2 linked regions of the Neurospora crassa OR74A genome follow. The protein of the gene in region 2 purifies or fractionates together with the protein of the main gene of each other region. This does not show direct contact. Links are inferred from orthologs where the notes say so. Each region holds a gene or a part of one and is shown on either strand. Other genes may lie near its edges. The genes, in order: NCU04344 and NCU04640.

The links.
Region 1: the proteins of NCU04640 (region 2) and NCU04344 purify together in Saccharomyces cerevisiae (affinity purification with mass spectrometry; 4 studies listed by BioGRID, with this or other methods). This does not show direct contact. The link is inferred for Neurospora crassa OR74A from reciprocal best matches to the Saccharomyces cerevisiae genes SUI3 and GCN3.

What each region holds. Positions count from the first base shown.
Region 1 is NC_026504.1:3,704,139-3,708,097, reverse strand, and holds NCU04344 (translation initiation factor eIF-2B alpha subunit), read right to left. Parts: upstream 2,575-3,959; 5' UTR 2,257-2,574; coding exon 2,177-2,256; intron 2,080-2,176; coding exon 1,125-2,079; 3' UTR 745-1,124; downstream 1-744. Other genes in the region: egt-1 (DUF323 domain-containing protein), read left to right, coding at 1-145, 214-658; NCU04345 (adaptin ear-binding coat-associated protein 2), read left to right, coding at 3,332-3,959. UniProt on the Saccharomyces cerevisiae protein: Acts as a component of the translation initiation factor 2B (eIF2B) complex, which catalyzes the exchange of GDP for GTP on the eukaryotic initiation factor 2 (eIF2) complex gamma subunit.
Region 2 is NC_026505.1:1,363,791-1,368,166, forward strand, and holds NCU04640 (eukaryotic translation initiation factor 2 beta subunit), read right to left. Parts: upstream 2,968-4,376; 5' UTR 2,602-2,967; coding exon 2,590-2,601; exon of another isoform or gene 2,117-2,589; coding exon 1,975-2,116; intron 1,924-1,974; coding exon 1,273-1,923; intron 1,163-1,272; coding exon 1,096-1,162; intron 1,041-1,095; coding exon 941-1,040; 3' UTR 294-940; downstream 1-293. Other genes in the region: NCU16952 (hypothetical protein), read left to right, coding at 3,693-3,933, 4,034-4,143. UniProt on the Saccharomyces cerevisiae protein: Component of the eIF2 complex that functions in the early steps of protein synthesis by forming a ternary complex with GTP and initiator tRNA.

The sequences.
Region 1 (3,959 bases), on a different chromosome or scaffold from region 2:
ACGAACTTGCCGGTTGCGCAGCTTACATGGGCGGCCGTATTCCCACCTTCGAAGAGACCCGGAGCATTTACGCTTACGCCGATGCTCTCAAGAAGAAGAAGGAAGCTGAGAGACAATTGGGAAGGACGGTTCCGGCTGTTAATGCGTATGTCCCTTCGACTTACTCTCCCGTGTCCAGCTCGCACTAACAATATCTTTCCCATTGATAAACAGCCACCTAACCAACAACGGCGTGGAAATCACTCCCCCATCCTCTCCCTCTTCCGAGACCCCCGCCGAGTCTTCCTCCCCCTCCGACAGCAACACCACCCTCATCACCACCGAAGACCTCTTCTCTGACCTAGACGGTGCCAATGTCGGTTTTCACAACTGGCACCCTATGCCCATCACCTCCAAAGGCAACACCCTTGTCGGGCAAGGCGAGCTCGGCGGCGTGTGGGAATGGACTTCATCGGTCCTCCGCAAGTGGGAGGGGTTCGAGCCGATGGAGCTGTACCCCGGCTATACGGCGGATTTTTTCGATGAGAAGCACAACATTGTGCTGGGAGGGAGCTGGGCTACGCATCCGAGGATTGCGGGGAGGAAGAGCTTTGTGAATTGGTACCAGAGGAATTATCCTTATGCTTGGGTGGGGGCGAGAGTTGTTAGGGATTTGTGAGTCGTTGTGTTTGTATGTGTAATGGGTGGTGGACTATGGCTGGTTGGAAAGTGAAGACGACGTGAATAGCGCAGTCTTGGTTAGTACTCAGATGGGTATCTTTTTCTTGGTTATGAAATTTCGGTCAACTACATGTATATGAATGGGGTGGTTTCATATGTCACTCCACTCGATCAGGCATCCCTGGTTTAACTTTAGCACGTACTTTGTTTTCCTTCACAGGCCAAGCAAGTGAGAAAAGAGACTCTTTCATCAACCAAACCTCCAAAGGATATCAGGTACCTATCCCATTTCCCGTTAAAAACGCCTAATAATGCTGCAAGGATATTTACCACAGTAACCACACCGATAACTTGAAAATGATCAAGCAGTTCCATCCATCCATCCATCCATTCATAAAACCGCCCTTTTGTTACCCACGCTTTTCAACACCTTTCACCTTCAGTATCGGGCAGCAAGACCCCCCTCACTTCTCATAATCAACCAACTCCCAAATCTGACTCGGCTGCTTCACTCCCTGCTCCGTCACAATGCCATCAATCAGCTCCGGATCGGTATAATCCACCTCATCGCGATCCGCCACCCAATCCCTCGCCTCTTGGCCTACAGGGTCAACGCCCACGTTGTCAAACTTGCTGATATCCTTCTGCTTGACGCCGACCCTCAACACCTGTGGGTGCCAGAGGGGCGTCTTGCGCACAATCTTGTGACTTTCCGCAGCAACCAAGAAGCGCTTCTGCGAGCCGCCCGCGAAGCGCGTGAGCAGAGCAAGCTGCGAAGTGCCCATGCGCGAGATGATGCCGCCGTTTTGCATGACGACCTCGCTGCCGACGAGGACGATGTTGATGTCCTTTTGGTCCTTGAGGACGTAGGCCACCTTGGAGGTCGAGATGGTCTCCACCTCCAGGCCGGCGTCGCGCAGGGCCGAGACGCTGGCGTCGCAGTGCGGACTGCCGTCCATGACGTAAATGACCTTGAAGTGCGTGTTGGTCCGGGTCGTGGCGGCGTGCACCAGGATCTTGGTCACCACCCGCGAACCGCCGGCGGCCAGGACGATCTTGCGGTGCGACATGTAGCGGGAACCGATGACGGCAATGTTGTCGCGGGCGGCCTTGGCGCGGGCGGCAAAGAGCTGGCGGTTGTTGAGCAGGTGGCGCTTCGTCTCGTCGAAGGACTCGGCGGTCTGCCCTCTAAGCGACCGGAGAAGGTACTGCTCGAAGAGGTCGGCGCCGGCTAGCAGAGGGAGAGGGTTCGGGGCCGAGTCGAGGAGGAGGGCCTTTTGGGTCTTGACGACCTCGACGGTTTCCATGGCTGTTGAGGAAGGGGTGACGCGCAAGAGCTCGATGAGCGATTCGATGGCTGCTACGGGCATAGTCATGTCGGGGTCGGAGGTGAGGAGGTCGCGGTAGGTTTTGACGATGCTGTTTGTTTGTCTTGGTCAGAGGCAAGCAATGCGACGAAAGGGTTCAGCGCGGTTTGGTTATGACGCGTGTGGTAATTACGCCAAAGCAAACTCACTCGAACGAGGCGCCATCAGTGGAGGTGGACGATGTCGTCCGTACCGCGAGCGGCTTGTTGGATAGGTCGTCGGTGGCCATGTTTCTATGGGGGTTGTTGGAGAAGACGACAAAGTGTGTTGATATTGTGAAGGTGTGGGAAGTGGTTTTCGTTGCCAAAACATACAAGTCCTCCCGGGAGGAAGCACTGTTGCGGCGGTCGATCCAAGTGGGGAGGGTTCGGGGTGTTTTAGTCACTTGGGAGACTTGGAGCAGGCAGGCAGGTTTTGGCTTTGTCAAATCGTACAGGTTTATGTATTGCGACAATGATCTGGTTTGTGGTATGCAGAGTCGATAAAATGCAGCGTTTTCTGAAGAAGCGTGCGTCTGGTCTGATCTGAAAGTGTGACTCAAGATGCGTACCTACCTCTACTAGCTGTACATGTAACCTTCTTCATCCCAAATTCCCAAGTGCGGGCGGCCCTTTGAAGTATTCTGCCGCCACTCACCGTCCTCAATGCGTACCTACTACTGAGTGTACCTACTGCACGTCAACGAAGCTCTCCGGCCATTCTTTGTTTCCATTTCATGCCCGCTAGGTATGTGCCCCGCTATCGGCAGCTGCTAGTGTACACTACTACCTAGCGGGGTTGTTGCTGCCCTGGGTGATTTCCATGCCAGGTGTTGCGGCTTGTCACCGCCGCCCACCAGTCACCTCACGGACCTTTCGGGGGCTCTTTACAGGGTCGAAACACTGAGGGTCCCCCCTGGGGCTGCGTGGATCCTTTCTACTCCAGGCTGCCCCTGGCATCTGCGCTGCTACCACTGTTAGGTACTTCCTGTGGCTTCCGCCCCGCCGTCCGCTTCCATGGAACAGGGGCAGCAAGGGGAATGTGAAGCTAACTTAGGGGTTTCTACAGTAGCGGAGGACCCTTTACCGTCATTGTCTCTTTCTTCATCGGGCATTTGAAACTACCTAGGTGTATGGACCCGTTGGTTGGCGATGTTGGCTTCAGTCTCTTCTTCTTCTTCTTCTTCTTCCCCCCCTGGCTTCCTGTTGAGCGTCGACTATAAGTTGCCGACATAGGGACTAGGTACGCTAGCAAGCAAATCACAAGGACAGAAACACCATTACGACCGTGACCACCACCACCACCACCATAACACAACACACATCATGACGACCCTCATAGACCCGGCCACGCAGGCCCCCCTCCCGGCCGATGCCATCCAGCGCATCCTCCACATCACCTCCTCCTCGGTCCACATCTACCAGATCCCCCCTATGCGCTCGACCAAGGGCCACATGGCCGCCGACTGGACCGCCGACCCCAAGGCGCACATCTTCACCGGCCGCGTGCGCATCATCGAGACCTCGATCCCGCCGCAGACGCCCGAGCAGATTGGAGAGAAGGACACGGTCAAGGTCGACATTGTGCTCGAGGACCCTGCCACAAACGACCTGATCGCCGCCGCCCCCTACACCACCCAGGCCGTCGTCGAGGCCACCATCGACAGCAGCCGCTTCTTTGCCCTGCGCGTGCAGGATCCCACCACCGGCAAGAAGGCCATGCTCGGCGTCGGCTTCGAGGAGCGCAGCGAGTCTTTCGACTTTGGCGTGGCCCTGCAGGAGGCGCAAAAGTCGCTGGGCCTCATCGAGGGCGTGGCGCCCCTGATCAAGTCAAGCAAGAAACAGGAGGCCGAGGAGAAGAAGGATTATAGCTTGAAGGAGGGCGAAACGATCACGGTGAACTTGAGCGGGACCAAGTTTGGGAGGAGAGCAAGGCAGGATCGCCCCTTGTCGA
Region 2 (4,376 bases):
AATCGAGCAGGTAAAGTAGTGATGAGTCACGTTACGCGTTGACTTGGAAAGTGTTGACTAATCTATCGAACAGACAGACGAGGTTGAACCGTTGAGTTGTTGCCTGCGGCCCATCGTCTTATATGGGTTTGTTGATGCAAAATGTGGAGGGGAAAGATTCTCCCGAAGCTAACTATCATGCATGTGCTCGGCATATCATGGATCGATCGCCAAAACATCGGAACGTAGTGTATACGCAATGTATACGCGTCAAGGTGAGATTTCGAACCTAAGCGGCCGCTTTTTCTCACCAATCGCGGAGTATCAAGGTTTATCATTTTACTCAACTGCCACTTTGAGTTTCGATAACATAATGTAGTTTATAAAGGTAGACTGAATGGCTATACATACTGCAAAGAACAGAGAATAATTCCTGTTCGCAAGATCTCAAAATCCATCGCTTCGTAATCCTGCGCTCAGTCAGCCTCTTCCTTGCTCTCCCAGTCTAGCTTGCTGACCATGGTCATGAATGACCTGAGAACCTCTGAATCCCACATCAGTCTAGATACAACCTCGCAGCCCTCATCCATATAAATCAGACAAGCTCAGGAAAAGAAGAAAGCCCTCCTCTTTATCAGACTCCCTATGCAAAGTAAGGATAAGTGTGCCACCATCATCAAAAACCAGAACTTTTTGTGTACCAATTCTTCATCAAGTATCGTCATATTAACCCGTACCCTACCGCGTAAGGAATTCACCTGATTTTGTAGCACAGACTCTCTCTTCCATCCTCTCTCTCGTGTACTGGAGATGAGAGATTGCCGTTCAGAGGGGCCGTGCTACTTCGTAAAAGACCCGTGCCCAACCAGCCATATACAATGCCGTCTTAACTCCGTCCTTGAAGCGTGAAAACATTGAAAAGCAAACTGCAAGGGCCTCGAAACAAGAAAACAAAAACCGCTTAACCCTGCATCTTCTTTCTCTTGCCGACCTGGGCAGAGAAACCGGTCTTAATGGCCTGGACAGACCGCCTAGAACCGCAAGAGTTGCAGGTAATGAAACTGTGACATGTCAGCATTTTGGGGCTATGGTCGTCGTAAACAGAGGCCAACTTACTAAAGACGGTTCTCGCCCTTGGAGAGCTCGGTGTTGGGGGAACGGCACGTCTTGCAGGTAACGTACTCTGTTGAGCATGTTAGCATTTGTAGTCAGAGCAAAACGTTGGGTGCTGGTGGTGACATTGTCTACTTGGGCGCAAAACGTCCAAACGACGACAGGATCAAATAGACATACCGATAATGTAGGTACGCAGAACGTTCTCGATCTGCTTCTGCTGGAAACGACCCTTGATGACCAGACGCCTGCTGCCGTCGACGGAACCGCTGGTACCCAATTCGGCGAAAAGGTAAGAAGTAACGTGCTCGTCGGCTCTCTTCATGCGCTTGCAAATCTCGGGCAGGTTGGCGAAGATGGTCTTCTTGTTGCCTTCACGGAGACACTGCGGGGGCGGGATCTTGTACGACCGTGTACCGGTAGAGGCGTGGTCGGGGTTCTTTTGCGAGAGAAGGGCGAAGAAACGGGACAGAAGAGCGTTGTAGCTGATGGGCTTGGTCTCGTCGTGGGCCCAAATGCCGGTGCCCTGGTCCATATCGCCCTCCTGCTCGTCCTCCTGGGGGGCGGCCTCCTCGCCCTCCTTGCCCTCAATGTTGAGAGCCTCCAGCTTCTTGGCGAACTCATCATCCTCCTTGACGACCTTCTTCTTCTTCTTTTTCTTCATGGTGAGGTCGATAGCACCGTCACCCTCGGCAGGGGCGGCCTCATCAGCAGCGGCGTCGGCATCGTCCTCCTTCTTGACCTTCTTCTTCTTCTTCTTCATGAGCGAAAGGTCGAGGCCATCATCGGCGGCGGGGGCGGCAGCAGCAGCAGCATCCTGGGGCTCGGTGGCTTGGGGGGCATCAGTAAAGGCCCCGAGAGCGGCGTGGAGGGGCGGCGTACGAGCAGAGTGGGACTGGGCAGTCTCCTTGATTTCGTCGGCGGGAGAGGCGTCCATGGTGACAGAACCGTCGGGGTTGACAACTAGCTTCTCGTCGGTAAAGGTGACAGACTTGCGCGAGGGGCGTCTTTTGATAGAGGGCGCCTAAAGGGTTAGTATATCGGAGTGGATAAGGCGCTTGTCGTGGGAGTCGCGATAGCGGTCAAGGATTTCGCCGTCGAGTGTGGATAGGAAAGCTCGGAATTTTTTGGGATGATTGGCGGCGTTTTCGCGCTGCAGAGTGCCAGAACTTTATGGTGGATTTTGGGCTGGGGGTGGAGGGAGAGGGTTGGCGCCTTGGAGGGGCAGTACACGTCAGGGGACTTGAGGGCTGGGGCCGGGGATAGGTATAATTGCACTGCGTAGGTAGCAAAGTACAGTGAGGGGTGTGCAGTGTGGTGAATGGGACTTTTTATTTCCTTAGTATTTTTGACTAGGCGAGAAGCGTGGCTCCCCCCAGGGCTCGAGGTGTCTGCCTCTAGCGTGGTGGTAGGGTCGGGGAGGACGGAGGGTGTGTTGTGTGGGCGTAGAGGTAGTGAGTGTGTACTGAAGCAAGGAGATCCATCCCAGGTACTTACTTCAGAATCCATGCTGGGCCACTGGTGTGTTTGAGAGTGTGGTGGTGTCTGTCTGTCTGTCTGTAGGTGTGTGATTGTCCGTCTTTTTCTTTGTAATCGATGTCTCTTCCGGTGGACTCTTTGTTGGTCGCAGAGAGTGGATTTTGTCGATGGATGAGATTAGGTAGACTTTGGGGTCGGGAGAGGTATCGATGCAGGCAGACTGATCTCAGCTTTCTTTCAGTTTCGGACCTGGAATTGTTCTTTGCGGGGACCTAGGTAGTTGGATGCCGCTTGGGTCCTGGTCTGGTTACCTACTACTACTGTCGTTTAGTTCTGTCGTTGGGCTGGAGACTGAGCGGAGTTCTTTCTGTACACACGGCTCTGGATGGGGCACCGGCACCACGCCTCAGCTGTGTTCACCTCATGACGTTGATTGAAGCGAAACTGTGAGTCAGTCTTCTCAATCACCTGACAAGTGGGGTGGGAAGAGCTCAGACAGCTGCCCGCCACTTGCAACTACAAATCGCCTCCGCTTCTCCATTTTCCAGGCCATGCAGCCCTCCTCCCTGCAGCACGGTGCCTTCAACCCGCTCGAGCCACGGCCGCACAGTCCGACACGGTTGGGTTGGCACTGGCACTTGCAGTCCGGTGCAGTGCTTGGCGGCAGCGATAGGTGAGTGGTGTCCATTCCAGCATCGCATAGCTGCACTGCTGCAGCAGTTGGTGCCGTGGCCCGTCATCGGTCACCGACAACAACCAGCTCCATCACGAACCTTGGAAGGCGCGCCGAGTCCGTAGAGGTATCCATCTCCGTGTATCGCTGTGTTCGTAACCGACAACGAATCTCCCAGCAGCAATCAAGTTCGTCCCACGCGATTTCTACAATATCCTACACGTCAGGCGTTACGCCGATTCGTACAGTGTCTCCATCCCGAACTATCGCAATTTGCCCGAGCTACGATAGCTACTTACAGTACCATCTTCACCGCGACAACCGACCGTGCGCCGGCGCCGACCACTTGCTCGCCTCATCCAAACCACACTGACGATAGCTACCTACTCCCGGCCAGAGACGCGATACCCTCAGACAGACAAATTGCGCATTCGGGACATCCAAAACCATGTCCACCCCCTCCGATTCCTACGTCCTCCACGACCACTCCCCGTCAACCGACAACGACGATGTCGACTCCCTCCCGTCCATCTCCAGCAGTATCCTAGGCTCGGACGACTCCGAGTACGACGACGAATCAGACGCACAAAAGGAATGGGAACAGAGTCTCGAGCAGCTGCAGCTTCTCTTGAACTTGGTGCTAATACCGTTCGCGGGCAAGTTTTTGGGGCGCAAGTTTGCTTATTGGAGTAAGACAAACCAAAACCAGATCTTGGGAAAGACAGCTTGCGCTGTGGGAGGAGACAATAACGACGATGCGGAAAGTCAGTTGCTAACATGGCCCGGCAGGTTGGGGACGGTACATGGAGTGGGCGCACGGGGTCAAGGTCCAATGGTATAACAAGACGCTATTCAACATTGCCGGTTGGATAGGAGCTGCTACGCCAGTATCAGTATGAGGGAGGCAGACAGGCGACCGTGGTGATGAGGTACTCGAGTCAAAGGCGACGGCAGCACAATTCTCGATACCCTATTTTTTCGGTATAATCTGGGATACCAGGGGTGGACACAGTGCTCTTTTGGCGTTACGGTATGGGAACACTAGCATAAAGGGGTATGTTTCGTTCTTGCACAGTTTGCGTTGCATTGGTGGTGAAGAATTACAGACATGTGTAGAATGCATGTGGACTGT